Linked DNA regions of Arabidopsis thaliana. The protein of the gene in region 2 binds, or shares a complex with, the protein of the main gene of each other region. Each region holds a gene or a part of one and is shown on either strand. Other genes may lie near its edges.

What was found. Proteins that work in one complex are often made in the same cells at the same time.
Region 1: ATU2AF65A (region 2) and RSZ21 share a complex: the UniProt entries of both Arabidopsis thaliana proteins name them as parts of the spliceosome.
Region 3: ATU2AF65A (region 2) and SR30 share a complex: the UniProt entries of both Arabidopsis thaliana proteins name them as parts of the spliceosome.

Annotation. Positions count from the first base shown.
Region 1 is NC_003070.9:8,426,757-8,432,344, forward strand, and holds RSZ21 (RS-containing zinc finger protein 21), read right to left. Parts: upstream 2,730-5,588; 5' UTR 2,505-2,729; intron 2,486-2,504; exon of another isoform or gene 2,429-2,485; 5' UTR 2,409-2,428; coding exon 2,320-2,408; intron 2,248-2,319; coding exon 2,159-2,247; intron 2,063-2,158; coding exon 1,849-2,062; intron 1,644-1,848; coding exon 1,479-1,643; intron 1,342-1,478; coding exon 1,335-1,341; 3' UTR 501-1,334; downstream 1-500. Other genes in the region: AT1G23850 (uncharacterized protein), read right to left, coding at 1-289. UniProt on the Arabidopsis thaliana protein: Probably involved in intron recognition and spliceosome assembly.
Region 2 is NC_003075.7:17,292,263-17,301,358, forward strand, and holds ATU2AF65A (U2 snRNP auxilliary factor, large subunit, splicing factor), read right to left. Parts: upstream 5,467-9,096; 5' UTR 5,348-5,466; coding exon 5,234-5,347; intron 5,053-5,233; coding exon 4,766-5,052; intron 4,667-4,765; coding exon 4,568-4,666; intron 4,472-4,567; coding exon 4,398-4,471; intron 3,965-4,397; coding exon 3,888-3,964; intron 3,816-3,887; coding exon 3,768-3,815; intron 3,683-3,767; coding exon 3,623-3,682; intron 3,530-3,622; coding exon 3,469-3,529; intron 3,384-3,468; coding exon 3,271-3,383; intron 3,151-3,270; coding exon 2,704-3,150; intron 2,578-2,703; coding exon 2,442-2,577; coding exon of another isoform or gene 2,169-2,441; coding exon 2,101-2,168; intron 2,015-2,100; coding exon 1,877-2,014; 3' UTR 1,685-1,876; downstream 1-1,684. Other genes in the region: AT4G36680 (Tetratricopeptide repeat (TPR)-like superfamily protein), read right to left, coding at 217-1,455; AT4G36700 (RmlC-like cupins superfamily protein), read right to left, coding at 6,181-7,164, 7,321-7,401, 7,487-7,665, 7,751-8,075. UniProt on the Arabidopsis thaliana protein: Necessary for the splicing of pre-mRNA.
Region 3 is NC_003070.9:2,942,038-2,948,766, forward strand, and holds SR30 (SERINE-ARGININE PROTEIN 30), read right to left. Parts: upstream 3,940-6,729; 5' UTR 3,782-3,939; coding exon 3,695-3,781; intron 3,572-3,694; coding exon 3,506-3,571; intron 3,420-3,505; coding exon 3,345-3,419; intron 3,266-3,344; coding exon 3,163-3,265; intron 3,078-3,162; coding exon 3,031-3,077; intron 2,924-3,030; coding exon 2,866-2,923; intron 2,743-2,865; coding exon 2,693-2,742; intron 2,550-2,692; coding exon 2,493-2,549; intron 2,420-2,492; coding exon 2,307-2,419; intron 2,210-2,306; coding exon 2,132-2,209; coding exon of another isoform or gene 2,119-2,131; exon of another isoform or gene 1,528-2,118; coding exon of another isoform or gene 1,491-1,527; exon of another isoform or gene 1,190-1,490; coding exon 1,132-1,189; intron 865-1,131; coding exon 850-864; 3' UTR 501-849; downstream 1-500. Other genes in the region: AT1G09130 (ATP-dependent caseinolytic (Clp) protease/crotonase family protein), read right to left, coding at 1-180; AT1G09150 (pseudouridine synthase and archaeosine transglycosylase (PUA) domain-containing protein), read left to right, coding at 4,562-4,572, 5,173-5,254, 5,351-5,418, 5,520-5,617, 6,137-6,273, 6,356-6,423, 6,673-6,729. UniProt on the Arabidopsis thaliana protein: Regulatory splicing factor that modulates alternative splicing and gene expression in specific cell types. Autoregulates its own expression. Probably involved in intron recognition and spliceosome assembly.

The sequences.
Region 1 (5,588 bases), on a different chromosome or scaffold from region 2:
CGTACGGGAACAAGTAGAGTAGAAATGTCTGGATAAGCAATGGAATCAGATTCTCCAAGACGGAAGCATCTTGAGGAACGTAGTAGTAATCCCAATTAGTGAGTTGTCGAACGAGGTATTGAGAAGCGAGTGAGACAGTGGTTTGGAGTGAAAGCTCGAAGAAGATCAAGAAACAAAAGAGGGGGAGAGAGCAAAGGAAGAGGAAGAGAACAAGATTGATGTTACCACATAGAAGCTTTGTTGCTCGTTTGAGTATGTTGATGAAACCTAGATCCTCCTCAATCTTCATCTTCTTTCACAGTTCTCTTCTTCTCTACAAAGAAAAAGGGAGAGTACAGATCTACTACAGTTTTTTATTCGTAAATATGGAGTCGTTTCTTCATTGACGTTGACGTAAGAATTGGTATACCAACAAATCTGAACCAAATTGCCTCAAAACCAAATTTAGAAAAGTATTAAAATGAAAACATGTGGCGGCCGAAGAAGAACAGATTAAAAGTCGAGATTAATTGGGAAAAGAAAAGCATAAGTGGGAAACCAAATCATGAACACAAAAGACTAAGCTAACACGTTTTTCACAAGCAATATAAAAAAGAAGCATCCACAAATGGGTTTAATTTAATGTAAGTGTGTGATCCACCAACAGATGTGTAACAAAGTTGACCGAAAAACAAAAGTGAGTAGAGAAACCAAGTGGTGATATAGCAGCCGAGAGCTAGGAAGAGGACGGGGTGAAGAAACAGATTCGTCTTTCTCAATAGAAGCTTGGTTGCAGACTTGGGGTAGGAGTGGTGAGTAAAGAGCAGGGCAATCTAAAAGTCACACAATGTAACAAGCAAATTCTAGCTGATGTTGGTCGAGTTGAGGATGCAGATTCATGATAAAACTAAGTTGTGGGGAGAGTAAGATGCAGCTGTGCTGCCAAGAGATCCCCGATAAATCATACCTCACAAGGGAAAAAGAGTGGAAACAGTTGAGCTTTTTAGATATGTCTATATAATAAGGAAAGTGCATTCAACAAGAGACAAAACATTTATGGATACGAAAGAACGACCTCAAGTGTAGGGGTTCAAGGACGCTGTGTGAAGACAGCAGGCCAGTGCGTGTTATAGAGAATAAGTCAAGACGGCTGTTGGAAAACAGCATGAAGGAGAACTCACCAAATCCAATTGTCTAATAAAACTCGAACATACCATGACATGTCCATGCTCAACAACCAAACCTAGAAGAGCTAATACCATAATAGCAGATATAAAGATCTATCCTAAAAGGCGCCACAGAGTAGATATAGCATCATAGCTTAGTAATAGCTTCTTTCTCTTCAGGGTCCAGTTTCACACCCTGCAGAAACGCAAACGAATATATACCTTATATCAAAATACTTCAAATGTTATTCACATCTACATAGACAATGCTGAAGTTGAGTCATGCAGATTGAGAAAGTAAACCTAAATCCAAGAAGAGAAAAGAACTTTTACCCATTGGCATATGGCGAACGTCGACCATAGGGCGAGTCTCTGCGGCGAGGAGAATCACGGCGTGAACCACGATAAGGAGGGGATCTGCTGTAGCTCCTCCCACGGCGAGGTGGAGTAACACTGCGACGCCTTGGAGGAGATCTTCTTCCACGCGGGCTTATACTCCTGAACAAAATCAATTCCACAGGAACAAAAATGTATGTCACAAAGCGATTATAACATCAAGAAAGGTACTATCAACATTAACAACTCAGCCCCTATACATGATTACAAAGTGCAATTTCAATGGATATGTTAACACAATGGACATACTAATGACATACTATCTCATCTAAGCAGCTCAATAAGAATGTTTCCGTTGGATCGTTACCTGCGAGCATACCCATAATCTGGACTCCTACGACGACGGGGACTAGGGCTTCTACGCCTCACAGAGCCTCGACCACGGCGACACTCGCGAGCAAAATGTCCAAGCTCACCACACTCATAGCACTTGGAATCCTCAATACCTCCACGACGACCACCACCACCTCCACGACCTCCTTTATCTTTATGAGAAAGCTCCACACGCCACCCATTCTTTCCTGAAGTATACGCCACAAGAGTAAAACTTTTCAATGACCAAACAATAATACAAACATTACATGGTAACTAAGAGGTCTAATGAGAAGAACACTAACGATCCAATGCGCTGATTGCATCCAAAGCATCTCTTTCGTCATCGAACTCGAGGAATGCGTAGCCAGGAGGTCTACGAGCTACCCAGACACTGCGATTTTTAAGATTCAGAGTCATAATTCGTATGGCTTGAAACAAAATTGAGTACAGAGATAGGACTTACTTGCGAAGAACACCGAAGGCCTTGAATTCGTCTTCGAGTTCTCTTTCGGTGACGCGTGGGTCCAAATTCCCGACATAAACCCTCGTCATGTTGCAAAGATCAGTTGAATCTGAACGAAAGAGAATCGAATTTTGTGAAGAAATATGGATATCGATAATAGTTACAGCGAGTAGTTAACAAGGTACCTGAGATTCTTGGTCCTGAGCAGCGAAGCGGGATGTTTTAGGGTTCAGACTCAGACTACGGCGAGGAAAGAGAGTAACCAAGTTATTTCATTATTATATGAAAACTGAAAAGTAAAAAAAAATTAACATCATATATTATTTGGTCATTTATTAGTTATTTCATGGTCCCTTATTTTTCGGTAATCCATATATTCATAAACAAAGTTTTAGCGACCAAAATGTAAGACTAGTCTCCCATAGTCGATTAGTTAACGTAAAAAGAGAATTGAGGTGAAAGCGGATTTTGAAACTATGCAAAACATCTTTGACAACAAAAGTTATGCAAACATGTTTCTAGAGTTTGATGTCTAATTACTGTAACTTGACGTGATTCTCAGTCTGAAAAAAACTAATGGGCCTAAAACCCATAACCTTTTGGTTAAAATTTTAAAAATATGAGCAAGTTTCAGTTGCTTAATGGCCCATATGAGTTGGTTTTGGTTTTCAACTTTTGCATCAGTACTTGTATCTTCTTAAATTTTCAAAATATAGTAGGCTGATTAAATCTAAGTTTGGAGTTGGCAAGTGTAACAATTGTTAGTTTTACATATACCTTACCAATTTACACATGATTGGGCACCTAATTCATGTGAACAAGTCTCTAAACGATTGCACACACACAAAAAAAAAAGAGTCTCATTGTTTAAAATTGCGTCGACGTAAATAGAAAAGGTTTCATCATCCCACCAAAAACAAAAAGACACTTATCCATTGGGGAAAACATTCTGAACCAAGATAAGTCATGCTGGGTCCCACTTACATCGACTCCTCTAAGACTGTGTCTTTGACACGTGTTTAGTTATGATTCGTTTATTTGCAGCCACTGTGTAGACCCCACTTACCTCCTTTTACAAAATCGACATTCAATTTACACGTGTCGCTATTCCCTGGCTTGTCCCTTAAGCTGGACATGGGAGGAATAAGATACTCTTTAATTTTTGGATGGCTATGGCTAAATAGATGGCTCAGAAGAAATAAGATGGCCATAACTTCATTCGTTATCCAAAGCTAACATTAATTGGTTAGTATCAAAATTTCTAAAATTGTGAAATATTTATAGAATATTAGTATTTAAAATTATATCTAATTGTATAAAAATTTTGGGGAGTGATTATTAGTGTCATGTTACTTATTGTAACTATCGTTGTGCATATCAATAAAAATATACGGATTTCAATTTTAAACCTCACATTTACAGATATTTAGTTAGATATTTAAAAGGGATATCTGCAAAATGGACAATATAGATATTCGATTTTTTTTATCGTAGTTAACAAATGCATGATATCATGTATCATATTTACACATACTATTCTTTTTTTTTTAAGTCTAGTAAAACGGATAACGGGTTGAAGAAGGATAAAAACATTTGTATCCAGCCAAGCCCTAAATTGGTATTGTCAAGTGGAAGAGCAAGAAAAGTAAAGAAGAAGAAAGTGTCAATCTGATTCGGATCCAATTACCCAATCCTCGTTGGCTTCCTAAACAACGTGAAAACAAAACACGGCTTATATATGTCAACGTTATTTACATTGACACTTGGAACCATTAACACCAAATGGGGATAATATCGTAAAATAACACATGGTTAGTACTTTAGTGACAATCCTAATGCTGCTTTGTCCCTTGGGGGGTTTGAGAGGCCACCCTGACCTACGTGGTGCCCTTTTAATATCAATACATTCCCGATAATGTGTGCTTACATGTTTTAATTATCTTAGTTTAGTCATATAATAATGACTTCGCTTTTAACTATATTATATTTACTATATGTAATATGTACATGCATGTTGCATTCCCAATGATGTTTGTTCCATTTTTATGTCTTTATCTAAGACTTTTAGTAAGACAAGATAACTCTAATGATCTTTCTTTTTTGTTAAAGTAAGAATATATATCGATTCAATTCATCTTATCAATATGGATATAGTCTTAGATCGTGTGTAGAAGTTTTGTTTTTTGACCAATACATTAAATTGTTTTAGTCTTTTTTTTTTTTTTTTTGCCAACGGATTATGATAATTATTTCTTAAAACGTTACCTGCACTTTGTAGAGATGTGACTAGTCGGTATTTTTTTTGTTAACATGAAACGACTTGTCGTCAACATTAGATTTTTGTATACATGGACACCGCCACTTTGATATAAATTTCTCATGTCTTACCAAATCATAGATTCAATATAGCTACTTAAACTATACATTGAAATATTTTTAAAATACATAAAAACAAAAACTGGAACCGTAAACAAAATTGATGGGATGTTTTTTTATTTGTTTCACGGGAAAAGTTTGTAGAATTTAAGCATGCTACATGCAATGTTAAAAACTGTTGTATATTGTAATTTATTTACACCATTAACATTTTATATTGTGTAAACTTAATGATTTGGCACCAGAGTTGAGTTTTTCTTAGAGTCATGTTTACGGAAAATCTGATTCATTTTGGATAAACTCGTAAACGATAGCTCATTATAAAACTAACCAAACTATCATTTTATTAAAGTAATAAAAAAGTTGACCAGTACCAATATACGACCTATACAGAGTAGGTTTGATGAGATCTCATAATCTCTTAAATTAAATACAAATTTAGCATTACCTTTAGATTGGATTAAGGATTAAAATTATTTCATTTGTTTCAGCCGAAAAAAGAAAATGGTCCACCACATTATCTAGTCATCATCTGATCTACTACCAAACCCTACAATAAGAAGATAATAAGAGGATTGAGGGTAATAATGTCATTTACATACACCTTTATATTATTTTATTGCCAAAATTAGAAAAATAGATCGTAAGAAAACGTGTATATGTGCATTTGGTATTATGTTATTCGGTTTTTATATTTTTCTTGTCTCTCATTAAATTTTCTTCTCTATCCAAACTCTGTATAGCCTGTCCCCAAAGAGTCTCGAGTCCTTATCGTGAACTTTTTTGTTCATTCATCTGTTCCACGAAGAAAACAATTTAGATTTCTCCGTTGAAGTTTTTCGCCGGCGATTTAGTGATTCTCGGAGAAGAAGGTGAGTAGCAATAGTGTGATT
Region 2 (9,096 bases):
GTGTGTAGAACAAAGCAGTGAACTATATGAACCTGAAAATTGTTGACTATGGAATTCTAGAGATTCCAACAACAAACCGTCAAGCTTTTACAAGCTAATTTATGAGGAAAGAAAAATGCAGGAGCAGCTTATAAATAAACCTGCATACTAGATCATAGTTTTCAACAAGTCTTCAAGCAACAAAATAAGATGTTCAATCGAAATGCTCTTGAGCTATTAAGCAGCAGCAGCCTCTTTTGCAGAAGATGGAAAAGCATCGGTTTTTGAATACAGCCCGAGTTCCTCCTCGAGTTTCTTCCACGCATTCAAGAAACTCGGAGGGAATTTCTTCTTCACCGTTCTAATCAACCCTTTAGCGTCATCTCTTTTCTTGTTCTCCACCAATCCCACAACCAAATGCTTCAAAGTGTTGAAATCTGGAATCTTGTGCATATACACACTCTTCTTGAAGATCGCATAGCCTTGCTCGTACAATCGGCTATAACAAAGATGAAATATCAATGTCCTAAAAGTAGCTGCGTTGGGAGCACAGTTGTTACCTTCAAGTCCTTCATACACTTTCTTAGCTTCGTCCAACATTCCTCTCTCACAATACGCAGTCATAAGATAGTTATAGCTAATCGTATCAGGTTTCAATCCCATACTACTCATTTCTTCAATCAACTCCTTAACTCTTTCAGGGCTTTCCTTTTGAGCACTCATTATACGAACATTATACGCTGCATTATCCAATTCACAGCCTTTCTTCACCATCTCATTCCACAAGTTATCAGCTACCTCGAGCTCACCTTTCTTATACAATGAACTCAAAATGGTGGTGAAAGCAATGGTAGTAACTTCCATGCCTTTACCTTGCATCTGTCTCATAATCTCAATGGCTTTTTCAGGGGTACCAGAGTCACAGTATGACTTAATCAATATACCGTAAGAGATTTTGTCAGGGATGATCTTATTGTACCTCTGAGGAATTTCGTCGAACAGTTGGGGGACTTTATCGAAATTCTTGGAATGGAGACAAGCGTTGAGCAAGGCGTTGAAGGAAACAGCTGATCTGGGTGTGCCGTATTGATCCATCTGCTCGAAGGTTCTCATGGCGTGATTAAACATAGAGGCTTGGCCGTAAGATCTGATAAGCGTAGAGTAGAAAGGTTCTTCTTTGATTTTGGGATCATTTTTGTGGGATTCAATTAGGGTTTCGATGTCTGAGAAACGGCGACACTTGGCGAGGCGACGAACAGTGAGCTCTTGGGCGTAGCGAGATGAAACAGGAGAGGCTGAGTGATCGGAGACATTGGCGTAGATCTTAAGAGCTTTGTCGGGATCGTGTTCTTTCCGGAGAGTGGACTTAGCTTTGGAGACAGAGATTTTGCCTGAAGAGGGAGCGGTGGTCGTACCGTCAGCGGCGGCTGAGGCAAATCGGCGAACAAGGCGGAGAGAAATACGAGAAGAAGCCATTTTGCAGAAATGGGTATTGTGGAGAGTGGTGGCGAGAAAAGGAGACGCCTTTAGGGTTTTAGTGGCTTAACAGAGATTTTTGGGTTTTACAAGTTTGCTTCTTTTTCTTTCTTTTTTCTTCTATCAGAAGAGAACCAAACTACTTGAATATTTCAATAGAGAGAGTACTCAACTTCTTGTGTTGATTTAGAACATATGTCACATTTACGAGAGACGAATGATGTTTTACGAGGGACTCATGATGTTATTCTGTGAATAATTTTTGAGATAAATATTTAAGAAATAGACCAAAGATATGAGATAAAAACGTTATAATAAGCAACGTGTCGATAATCTCATACTCTTACAATCACGCAAAAGGGTCTTGAAACTGAAGCAAAGTACTTAACTTTTAAGTAATAGAAAGCAAACAAAGAAGTGATCAGGCTCCATAATCACCCTGTTCAAACTTGTCTTCAGGGTAATACACTGCAACGACTTCATTTCCTCCAAATTTCCTACCATTCATCCCGAATCTTGCCCTAGTCGAGCCATCTGTATCGGCATACTTCAAAAACACCTGCACATTAAATATATCAGACAGTCAGATTACGACTAAATAGAAATATACAAGAAGTAGAGAGAAAGAGAGAGAGATAAGTTTACCTTGCCAAGGCCTGCCACTGGCTCACCATTGGGGCTTGGACGCGGAATCACAACATTGGTCAAAGCACCTGCATTTTAAGAGTTAAAGAACAAAACATTTCGAATACAAGACAAGAAAACACAGACAAAAACAAGTCAGTTTTTTCTTTTAAGAAATAGTGGCCATTGGTGATAAATAGATTAGGAGGTTTATGCAGTCTCCTGTCTGTGTATGTTAGGGCTGATTCTTTATAGCAAAAGGCTGTAAAACAGCACAACCAAGAAAACAGAGAGACAGATCAATATGCTTTTAATCTTATATTTCAAAATAGACCATATTGCGCAATTAAGAGGTCTCTTACCAAACTTTCCGCCTTCCTGTCTCATGTCTTCCATTATATCTCCATACTCCTCATCATCTCTAAGCTCATCCTCAGTAACAACTTGAGTCAGACACACCACAGTGGTTGCCACTGCACCAGGCTGTAACATAACCCTCTGCAAAAGATAAAACCATCAATCAGTCTTTTAATCTTATAAATGGAAATATTCAAGTTAGGTCTCAACACGTTTTGCAAGCTCATTTTGTTTTCTTCCAATATTATTAAGAAGAAAAAAAATTACCTGAAAAGCTATTTGCTGCTGTGCATGCAATAATACGTTCTCTTGTTCAGGCTTTTGTAGCATTGTTCCCTGGTTGGCACGTCTCACTGTAAGAGTCTTATCTCCCATCTTGATACCATTTAGGGCAGCGCACGCGATATCTGTAACAGAAAGATCTTGGTACACACAAAAGGCATATCCTTTAGAGTTCCCTGTTTCTCGATCTTTTACAAGATCAAAGCCCTTGAGGCCTCCAAAGGACTCCAACAACTCCCTCACTTGTGATTCCGTGAAGTAATATGGAAGTCCACCAACAAAAATACGATCTGGTCCCTCAAGCCCACCAGAAGCACCTGGAGTCAGACCAACAGCAGCTAAGTTTAGATGGGGACTGGGCTGGCTTGGACCAAGAGTCGCAGCTAGAGATGGGTTATAGTCACTAGGTCTCCTCACCTTCACCGGAGCTCCCTGGAAAAGAAAAAAAGAAAAAGAAAGATAAGCATTCAGTTGGGTAACCTATATACCAAAGAAATGCCAGTACTAAAACTCAACCAAATATTTGGTAGTGCGGTAAACATTAAAACATACCTCAAATATAATCCCATCCAAAGACATAGCGTTACTTGCCTCTTCAACAGATCGCATCTCCACAAAAGCAAACTTCTTCTCGTGGTTTATGTAGACATTAACAACTGCATCACCTGCGAGTAAGAAAAAAGATTTATAAAAAAAGATTAATCCAAGTATCATAATAGACACTCTAGCATCTGCACCAGGATTATGTACCTGGACCAGCAGTGTTTCCACCAACAGCAGCCATAACTTGACTAAAAAATGTAGCCACAGACTGCAAATACAAAATAATAAATCAATGTTAGTATCATTATTTGCTGAAACATATTTCAGTGGGAGAAAATGAAAAAAGAAAGTGGATAATAACCTGTTCATTTGCCGTAGGGGAAAGCCCACCGACATAGACTCTGCGAGCATGTCTAGTTGCCTGAAGACACAAAGTAAATAAGGATTAAATTAGAACAGAGAAATACATAGTATCTTGCGTATATCCATGATAAATAAAATCTAACCTGCTGTGTCATAGCCTGAATTGGCATCATAGAGAGTCCCCCAAATGACTGTAGGACATAGACGACTTAGTTCAAGAAAGACATCAATTAAGAAAATATTAAAAGGGAAAGACCACAGACCTGTCCAGTCGGCAATGGAAACATGTTGGGAAACATTCCAGCCCCAGGAAGAGTTGGTGGAGCGGGAGGAACTTGGCCTACAAAAGAAAAACAGGTTAATACATAAGAAAATTACATATGAGAAAACCTAGTTTACCATCCCTGGAAATGTATTGGTGACATCAAGAGGTTTAAGTCTGCATGGAAAATTTTTGCAAGACTAACAAAACCAGTGATATGTACTGAGGATGAGCAATACCCATACGCAGTAATTCTTCCTTGTATATAAGAGCTAACCAGCCCACACCCAGTGTTGCCTTACCAAAACAGAAAAGCAAACAAGAGACACAAAGACCACCAAACAACCAAAAGCTCTCAGTTCTAGCGTTATGTCCCAAGTAAAAAAAGAAAGAAAACAGCCTATGTTTTTGTAGTTATTCAGGAGAAACAGATTTTATCAATCCCAGTACGTGTATTAGGTATGAATTCTACATTATGCTAATGAGAAGGTGCTAAATTAAAGAGATATACCTGTAACAGCAGCACCAGCAGCTAACATTGCAGAGGCTGGAGGTGCCATATCGAATCCACTGACTCGCTGCTTACTGCAACAACATATATTGAGTGAGGTTAGAAACTTTCTTAGATTGAAGCAATTACTTCATAGAAGAGTAAGTAATCCAATGAGAAAAAAATGCTACCTTTTCGATGGAGATCGTGACCTTGTTCTGCGCTCAGATCTATCCTTTGAACGAGATCGAGATCGACGACTGCGTCTTCCTCCTCTATCATCTCTCCGCCTAGAAGAATAAAAAATAAGCCAAATCAGTACCTTCCATAAAATCAAAAAGGATTCAATCTAAATTGAAAATGTATAATTCAATTCAAGAACAGTCTACCTATCATGGTCACGATCACGGCTTCGACGGTAATCATCATCATCCCTACCACCACGTTCTCTTCTTTCACCACGCTCCCTGCTATGATCCCTGTGACGACTACTTCTGTGATGACGCTCACGATGATCTCTGTCTTTGTCTCTACTCCTCTCCTTGCTTTTCTCTCCATCTCTATCCCTGCTTCGGCGAGAGACTTCAGAGTCTCTTTCTCTGTCCTTATCACGACCCTTCTCTCTTTCTCTATCTTTACTTCTTGATGTCTCTCTTTCATGGTCACGCGATTCTCTCTGCACATGTAAACACACCCAAAACCTCATCAATTACAGTTTAAGAATCAATGAAACAGAAGCAGCTTTAAAACTAATCATCTCATAATTCGATTCTCAATTCAATCCAATTGCTAGGAAATATAGATTCGAAACTCCAACTATAAGCTAGGAGATTGAAGATAATCAGGGGGGAAATTACCTTGGGTTTCGAGTCCAATTGATCCTCGATTTCGCCGTCGCGGCCACCATTCTCTTCGTCGTAAATCGCGTCAGCAACCGTACCGTTTCCCTCGTGATCTTCGAATTCAGACATCTTTTCGCCGGAATCAACGCTCTCTATCTCTTTCTCACCGGAGATAAATTTAGAATCTGTTTCAGCCGTCGAGATTCGAAGAAAGGGGTGGATGCAGAAACCAAACTATTTTAGGGCAATTACGGATTATTCTATTTTTTTATAGCCAACACGGGACCTCCTGTGAGGGTATTTTTGTAAATGTCATATAAAAACAGGCCGGTCCAAATCTGATAAGGCCCATTATTCAGCGCATCCGGTCCAATAGTTGGCCCAATTCGTGTTTGGGATAAATCTACTTTTTGAGAGTTTTATGAATTTGCCTTTTCAAGATATGGCCCAATCTGTGTTTGAGATAAATTTGCCTTTTATTCCAATATCTCTTGCAACAACAAGAGAACAGAGCATGGGAAGTTGATTGCATTATCTACGACTCCTCCGTTATCACCATTCAAAACTTTAATATGCCGAAGCTATAGCAAGAGGGTTACAAATACATTATACAATTGTAAACCAAATGACATAAGTTAGCAAGTACGACTACTACTACAAGTGTATAATAAACCACAGAGTTATCAATAACAAGAAGTAACGTCGTCACTCAACAGTCTCTCGGAAATATTTACTTATTTCTCATTTACCATCTACAAAGATTTAAACAAAACAAAACATTATACAAACACAATACAACTTTAAACATGGCAACAACAAAAACAATGCAAAAGTACATTAACAAATAAACAAGACTATGGAAAAAAAAAGTTACAAGAGAGGTCAGAACCAAAGTTCTAACCACTAACAACAAACCAAACACACTCTTGACGTACGTTGGCCTTCTCTTTTACTCCTCCGGCTTAACTCTCCTCTTCACCTTCCATTTCCCATTCTTTCTCCATCGGTAGTTGCCGTTCCCTAAGTTCTTCTTCTTGTGGTGGTTGTTGAGGTGGCCACCGCTTCTTCTCTTCTTCTTCTTCACGTTTCCTCCTCTCTTCCTCTTCTCTCTTCGCCTCTTCTTCTTCTTTCTTCCTTTCATCATGTCTCCTCTTCCTCTCATCATCTATTTTCTTCCTCTCTATCTCCACCTTAAGCTTCTCTATCTCTCCTTCCGCACAAGAATGACATTCCAAGATAACAGCTTCCTTCTGAGCTCCCAACAATCCATCAATCGTCACACTACTCACATTAAGCGATGCAGCCAATACTTGCCGGTCAAGCATCCGCAAAGCCGAGTCCTCCCCGGCTAAGAACTGCGGCTCGTTATTCTTAGCTGAAGTAGTAAACCCAACGAACACTAACGAGTCATTGTTGAAAGACATTTGAGCCATTGGATGTAACCGTGGAACTGCGAAAATATCTCCTTCCTCTACTTTAAACCTCACGTTCTTACACTCTGATGATGTGTTTGATGATATCGAAGACCTAAGAACCCTAACCATTCCTGCTCCTTTCAATACAATCGAAATCTCGCAAGCCCATGGATTCCAGTGCGGTCCCATCATCGATCCTTGAGTGAGATTCACCATGGAAACTCCAACCATTGAGCCTTTTAAAACTTTCAGATCCTTCCTGTTAATCGTTATAGTACGACCGTAGGGGCTCTCGAAATCCGGTTCAGATTCGAAAACATTGAATGTCTTCGCTTTCTTCACCTTCTCCTTCTTCTCTTTCTTCTCTTTCTTCTTCTTGTTATCCACCAAGTCTGCACTTCCAGCAAAGAGCTTTAGTAATCGCGGTTGGAGCTGCCAAGTGTTGGCCACACCTGGTGTGCAAAGCGTCTCACTCACGATCAATGGTGGCTTCGTACGGTTCCTCATCAGCTCTATAATCCCCTCAGGAACCTAATTAAAACCATTGAATTTAATATATCACTTAATACAACCCAAAATATCCTCTACTAGAGTAAGTTGGGAAGTAAGATATACACAATTCCTATCTTGCTTCCCAAGTAAGATATAGACAATTCGTAACTTATTCATCGGCAGATTAAGACATACCCCAAAAGCTGACTGGAGAATTGTCTCATCAAAACCAAACATTAGATCTGTGATACTCGAATAGGCACCAAAGCAAGGATCCTGCATCCATGGAATACAGATACAATAAGAAGAAGAAAAAGATGTCAAGAAAGTGAAAAAAGAAAGAATCATATCAAACTTATACATGTAAACACTCATCGTTGTTGGAGAAGATTGCGTAAAGCTTAAGTTTGGTTCCAAGGAAGATATCCACCGGTTTGCTCTGTAAGTAGAAAACCGAACCGGGACGTAGCCTGTAAACGTCTCCTAGTCTGATCTCGGTACTCTTCGCTTCCTCGTCAACCCAATTCAGAATCCCACTTCCTATACAAATCACAATCCAATTTTGACCTAAACCGAAACTGATCTGTAAACCAAACCGAAGAAATTTAAACAGTTTATTATGTACCAGAGTCAACGAAGAAGACCATGTCGGAATGAAGAAGAAGAGGGAGCAAAATTGTGTTTGGCTCCAACGTTATGGAATGTATCTTGTAAGGTCCCATTCCACCGCATCCATTGCCGATTTGAACGGTTGAGATCTGTCCAAACTTCGTCTCGAAGATTGGTTTCCATTGATCTTTCTTAATCAGAAGAGGAGACGAAAACCCGCAACATGAAGGCACAGCGACGTCGTATTCTTCAGACTCCTCCGACTTAGCCAACGACTCAGTGCAGAGGAACAAGAGAACGAGAAGAAGAACAGAGAGTGGCAATACCGCAAATCTAGTCATTGTGCTCTGTTTTTTTTTTTGTTATTCAATGCAAAGCGTATTAAATCGTAGTATCATATAAAGGAATGAGAGAAGAAACAGAGAGAGGTTGTAGAGTCGGACAATGACCACGTGGCTTAATGGTTTGGACACGTGTTTGCTTTACGCTGACAAGTGCATGGGTTCCTTTGTTACCAAAAACAAATTGCCGCTAAAATACAAAGCTCGAGTTTGAAAAATCTGGCTGATAAGTGATCATAACTGTTGATGATAACGTTGTGAAGGTATGAACAACAAAGATGCATAGTTTATATCGCGCGACAGTCGAGTTAAATGACACGGTTCCAAGTGATGGCAGTTCATAGTTTTCATCGATGCGATATTGAGATATGCATGCATATCGGTATTAGTGGATATGCTTATTTTCCAATACTATGTATTAGCATTATTAACATGTGTTTTGGAAATGAAAACTCGAGAATCTTTCACATTTCAATTTCATCTGGGCAGATAATGATCACGGACACGTACTGTACATCAAGGTTGAAAATTTGACAGGCCCAATTGTCCATAGTGGTTGGGCTAGTGTATGTTAGTATGTATGTATGAGTGCCTAACCAAACTGCACTTGTATGCCTGAGAACGGATAATTCTAATCATATCTTTGGGTGATTGGAATCTGTATAGATGCAAGAATATGTACCAGAACCAAAATAAAATATAGTGAAAATTATTGATATGATTTAGTAATAATTATTTGAGAGCGTCGTATAAAAAGGACAACAAAAACAAATTACATATATATAGAGACGAATCTACAAGCCATGGTTATAAGAGTGATGATCGGCTCGCCGAAGTTTACACGTAAAATCCCAAAAATGGAAATACCAAAATATAAAATAGAATCAAACAAAGTTGGTAACGTGTGGAAATTAAAGACATTAACTATATGGTGCTAATTGATTTAGGAATTAGGAAGTGTGTTTGACTTTATATGGATGACGAAAAATATATTCGATGTCACTTCCATCATGGAAGTGAA
Region 3 (6,729 bases), on a different chromosome or scaffold from region 2:
AGGATCCTTTGGATTTATCGGAGGCATAGGGATTTTGGCAGAGGCTTTGGCGCGAAAGGCGTAACGAAAAGTCTTCAAGTTTCTTCTCCCGGATGAATTCGAAGATAGAGGAGGATGAGGAGAAAAAGAAGAAGAGCGTGGAAGCAGAGAATTCATGGATGCTTGTAAACAAGACGCCATGGTCGAGGAGCTCTTGGACACGGAAGCTCGCGAAAATGGACTCGTTGGACAAAGGAAACCAGAGGATTTATCGATGCTTTCGGAGGGGAGAGAATAATTACTGGGTCGGGTTTCGGGTTGACCCGCTATTTGATATTCCGGCTATAGCCCAAATCACATTTTAGGGAACAGGCCCAGTCGCAATAGACTTTACTTTCGGACCAAATTGCAATTATTCTGGGCCATTTCGTTTACACAAAACTCTGGTGCTATGGCCTATGAGCTGTAGTGTGTTGTTACTGTTGGTAGGATACAGGCAGGGGTTGTACCGTTTTAGAGTGATCTTATCCAAAAACAAAAGCAAGTTTAGTTTTAACACTGCAAGTTTAGTTTAAGATAATCATAAAAGACACCAGTAGTTGTAATGTAAATGTATATGTATGGAAAAACCTCACCACACCCAACACAATGTCTGATGAACTTTATTATGCAGCCGAGACAGAGTTTCCGGCTTTTTAATGACACAATAACAGACCAATTCCAGGTTCACAACTAAAACTAGAAAGACATATTGGTCGTCCCATACAAGAAGACCAGTATAATAATCCCAAATCGGAATCAAATTCTATTAGCAGTGGAGCCTGAGAAGCTTGAGACGATTCGGGTACAGCCAGTGGCCAGTTTTCATTTTCAACCAGATATCACCTGCAAAACATAATATGTAATACCGTTAAGAGAAGAAGAAATGATAACACATGACAGAGGTAGATTATGTTGCTGAAACACTTGGAGAGGCGATTTTTAGTGCACACAGAGGTTGGTGAGACCTAGTCGTTCTAAGACTCTTCAAATTTTATAGTCTGTCTCATGATTTCGTTAAGTTGGTGTTGATTGAAGAACAACCAAAGTGAGCAGGTATTTAAACAAACACCATGGATTGTGAATTAAAGAAGGTTCAGCTTTTAGACTTACAGGTGAAACTGGAGAATTCGATCTTGATCTTGATCTTGATTTTGATCTTGATTGGGACCTGCAGCAAGACCAAAAACCCCATGTAAGTGTGGCATAACAAAGAAATTTACTGACCATCTCCCATCTAGTCCCGGGAGCTTAAATGCTGTCCTAGAAAAGAACTCAACACAGAATCCACTATTGTCAAAAAGATAAATATATTGAGGAATCAGAGTAATCATAGTCCAAAACTTTGCGATCAGATCCTACAGCTGATACGCGCGGAGTACCAGACCAGACCAGACCGTAAAAACAGAAGTTCAAGTTCATGCTAATCCAGCTTTGTAAATCCAGTCCAAGAATCCATCTAGATGACCCATCTAGATCCAATCCCCAGCTCGTAGCAGTGAGCCAGATCTAGAAAACAAACAACGCAATACAATTGTAATCACGGTAAATGATCGAGGACATGCCTCAGAAATCCATCTTCCCCCTTCCGATAGAAATAAATTTTCAAAAAGTGAAACATCTAGCTAAGTGTTCTTTAAATTATAAGTCGGATAATGAAGATTGATACGTAATAAATTCACCGTCGCTGGAAAAAAGTTAAGAAGTAAAGCTTTATCAGAAGGAAACATCCAGAAGAGAACGACACAAAGAGAAAGGAAAAGGACTAAATATGATGGGAGCATCTCTGTCAAGAACTCAAAACATAAAAAACAAACACATTCACGTGTAAGAAATGAAAAGGAACTCTGGTAATCCCAAACAAGGAGGTAACCTTTACCCATATTGGAGTTTGCATGACATAGAAAACATCAACAAAGGAAGAAAATCAAGTGACAATAGACTAGTCCACTATGAGGGAAAAAAGACTCAAACAAATTCAACTGTGTACGGAAGCAACAAAAGGTGCTTAGTTGTAAGTAATAAAGCTAGTAAGGAGTTCACTATGCAAGAACAAGTGATCCATGAAGGGGTAACTACATATATAATAATGATACAAATCTAACACTCATACCTTGAGACAGAGCTGTATAGCGAGCGAGAACGACTAAGGGGCCGTGAACGCGGGGAAATGGATCTAGCAGGTGACACACTGCATTGCATTTAGAAGTCAGTTAATTTCATAAATAAGTTACAATAAAAATCCCTTATATGTCTTAGGTTTATGAAAAAAAAAAAAAAAAAAAGACCTCCTGCTCTTGCTACTATAGCTACAGCTTGGACCACGGCTCCGACTCCTGCTTCTATAGCTTTTAGAATCATCTGGGCTTCGACTCACACTCCTCGACTCATATTCCCTCACCTGAACAGTAAATTCAGAGATGACTCCATATCCACTTATGCTTAACAAAATCAAAGAAAGCAATACAACATACCCGTATATAAGCACTAGAGAAAGCATTTCGAAATTCAGTGGCATCAAGTTTCCTTATCTGTCACATCAAAAATTTTAAGGGAACATCAAAGATCCAACACTGGCCTCCAGGAAGATAAATTCAGCTCGGTATACTATGAAACAAAAGCAGTCTAAGGCATAAGTCCAGGAACATTTGCGTTGCAAAGATATAAAACTTACTGCGTACTTCATATCATCATAGTTGCTATAATCCACAACCCCAGACATGCCTACAAAGAAATACTGAATGTGAGTTTAGCAGTTCAGATGCTTAACACCTATTCTCCTTCACAAAGACTAATTTACTAACACATCAATCAAAAGCTTATCCAAACTATCGAATGTCAACTCACCTTTACGGTCAGGGAAAACTTCAGAGAAGCAGACATCTCCAGCTTTGCGCATGTGATCCTAATCACCCGTAAATAGCAAATAACATCATTTCAGAAAAGAGATAAATCCAAAACATGATATAGAGAACCAACATTCAGAGAAAAAGACTATATAGTGTCCCTTACCTTAAGGTCCTGCCACGAAGCAGAAGGCGGTAATCCGGTCACAAGCACTACATGTTTAGGTAGTAAAAATGAGTTTTCAAATATAAAATTTTACACAACACCAAATAACACAATCGAGAAGACTCTACAAACCGCGGTAGTCAGAGCGTCTTGAAGGTGCACGGCTCGCACTGTAGCTGCTGCTGTACCTATCAACTGATGGTGAAAATCTACGACCACCATGTGCAATCTCAACCTAAAAACATCACACAAAGATAACACCTTTACAAGAAATTACAGAAAATTAAGCTAGCTTTCATCATGCGTTTACTAACCCGAAGTCGACACCCATCAAAATCATAACCATCACGTCCATAAATTGCATCGTCTGCATCACGAGGATCTTCAAACTGCCACCAATAACAAACTATCTTAGTCATTAGCCTATACTATTACAAGAAGAAGAAAAAAACAAATTTGTACTTGATCAATATACCTCGACAAAGGCATAACCAGGAGGTCTCGGTGGAATCTTCAAATCAATGTCCACAATTGGTCCATACTGAAACAAATATACATAAGAGTCGATTTAAATTGTCTCAGCAAGACAGAATTGCAAATTTATGAACCCAAACAAGTCATAATGAATTCAATTTTTATCGAGAGAAAAGAGGAATTTTCAAACCTTGTAGAAGAGATCTTCAACCTCACACTTGCGAATATCTCCAGGCAAATTCCCAACGTAGATCGTACGATTCCATCGGCTACTCATCTGATACCTCAGAGCAGAAAATTAGTTCCTGTAAAAATCTAGAAGAGAAGAAATTGATTACTGGAAAAATAATTTCGAGAAAGAAGAAGAAGAAGATGTTCGAGAAAGCGTTAGATTGTTCTGGAAAGGAGACAACCACCGTTCGTTTGGAAACTAGTATCCTTTTATAAAACGGAACTGGATTTTAATCCTGTGCGGCCGCATGTATCAACGATGAATAGCCCAGTTGATCAAGATCGGCCCATATGTTTTAATGGGCCTGTTAATATATTGTTCTAACCGGATCGAATGTGTTTTTTCTTATCATTCAAACCGGAATATTGTATGTTAGTTATTACAATTCGAACCAATTTCGAATCGGATTCGGACCATCGGGTCATTCATTCTCCTAGGTTTCCTAAACACTGTCGTTTTTGGACAAAAGAGACACTAGATCGGAAACACTTGGGGATTTTTTTGAGAGAAACATTCTCTCGGTTCCTCTACTACCACCTCTCAAATCTCAATTCGCCGATTAGTAACTCCGTCCAAGACCATTTTCCGCCGTGACACCGTCCACGGTCTCTCTCAGTCCGTGAGTTCCTGCTCTGTTCCGTTTGGTTTTTCTGTTTTGGAATTTCAGTATTTTTCCTATTGAATTTGTTGCGATATGATGTCCAAATTTTTGGTTTGTTGAGTGATGTTCCGATATTTCCGTTATCAATCATCTTCCACTGTTCGCTTGCAGGGAAGAAGATACCATAGTTAGAAGCTGGTGATCATTTTCAATAAACCTCGAACATGTTTAAGAAGTAAGCATCTTTGTCTCTTTCTAGATTCTTTCTCTACTTTTTTATTTAGATAGAAACTGTTTTTCATACCCGGATTGTAGAATCTAAGAATTAGTGGTTTCAACATCTCGGCATTGTTTATACTAGTTGATAAAGAATGTGATGGTCTCTTTATTTAGTATCCACTTACTCTAATAACTATCGAGAACTCACTCCCTTCTACTTGTTGTCGACCACATTGTTAATTTGATTGCTTAGAGTAGCCTTGGTATGGGCATATTGGTTGTTATATTTTCTTCAAAGTAGAAGGTTTTGAGTTCTCAAAAGCTAACATCTTGCTATTGTAAAGTTTTGGTTTCTATATTGATAGTGTCACTATTTGATTTATCAAATCTGTACAAAGAGTCGTGGGTCATAGAGGAAAGTTTGTGTCTTGATTTGACCAGTCTAAACTCTCTACTATCATGGAGTTTGTGTTTATCCATCTCCTGAAACATGCTTATACATTCATAGTGAATCTTGTATAAAGTTTATTTTTCCCTACTGCTATCAACTTTAGATCTATTTGATATACCATTATGTCTATGAAGGTGTTATTTATGTTCACTACTTTTTATTTAGGTTTTGTTTGGAGGAGATTTCATCACAAAACCAAGTGAAGGCATCTGTTCAACGTAGGATCCGCCAGAGTATCCAAGATGAGGTATGTCTGTTGTTTCATTTGTCTTTTTCCCCTTCTTAAACTTTTATGATTTCGTGAAGTTTGTCAGATATAAATATGTTTATGTTAATGTTGCAGTACCCGGGACTTGAATCAGTGATGGAGGATCTACTTCCCAAAAAGATTCCTCTTATCGTAGTGAAGTGGTCTGTAAATTAACAAACTCATATTCATTGTTTTGTTTTCTGAATTTTCTTTTACCCACTATCTATGTCTTACAGTATTCCTGACTATATTTCTCGTGCAGCCCAAACCATCTGACCCTAGTTGTTGTCAACAATGTCCCCCTCTTCTTCTGTATCCGTGACGGGCCATACATGCCAACACTGCGGCTTCTTCATCAATGTAATATCACTTTTCCTTCACACCATCCATGCTATATGGTCTTGTTATCAAAACATAACATATCTGGGTGTTTTATTCATACAATCACTCTTCTTCACACCTGTTAGTCTTACTGTGGTCTGCAGTAGAACTTACCTGGTTCAAATACTGCATATACCTGAATAGTATGTCCGACACTTTTCTCTGAGTTATTTAGAACTTCCTGGGGTTTGGTTCCTGTAAGTTGTTGTTCCTTTGGCTTTTTTCATGCGAGTGAACTATATAAAAGGTCCACGTATGATTGGTTAGCCAGGATTTTTGTTTAGTATATTTTGTTTTATGTTTTCCGGGTTAGCTGACCCTTATCATAGTGAGAAGGTTTTGGCATTGGCTGTTACCAGAAGAGTATAAAATATTCTTGAAAACACCACGTTCAGCTAACTTTTACATACTTGAATGATACATAGAAAGAAACTTGGAGTTTTTTCAATTAGCCACGAATGTCAAAAATTTGGCAGCTGAATGTTTGGAGTTTTGCAGACCCAAATATAATGAAGAGGTTTCAAGTTGATAGAGGTGCCATAAAGTTTGTTCTGTCTGGTGCAAACATAATGTGTCCTGGTCTTACATCCCCGGGAGGCGTTCTGGATCAAGAAGTCGAGGCTGAAAGGCCAGTGGTATGAATAAAAACAGTATTTCCCTGGGTTGCATTTTTGTTTGTATATGCTGATCTTAAACCATGAATCTGTATTTGTTTAGGCCATATATGCAGAAGGAAAGCAACATGCCTTAGCAATAGGCTTCACCAAAATGTCAGCAAAGGACATGTAAGTCAATTTTTCGCTGGAATTTATTTGAAAATACAAACATGTGCTTTGATATACTTTCGTATCTTAGCCAAAATACAGTCTCTTGGCTCCAGGCCTCTCCAAGTAACCCTATCTTTGTCACTTTATTGATATTCCTTCTTCCCTTAGATACACATACCTGCACCAGGATCAATTTTGGCCGTGTTTCCCCTGTTTGCTCATAAAATTTCTTTCGCATCGCTAAACTTTTCTTGTGTATGTTCACAGAAAGAGCATTAACAAAGGAATAGGAGTTGACAACATGCATTACCTCAACGACGGTCT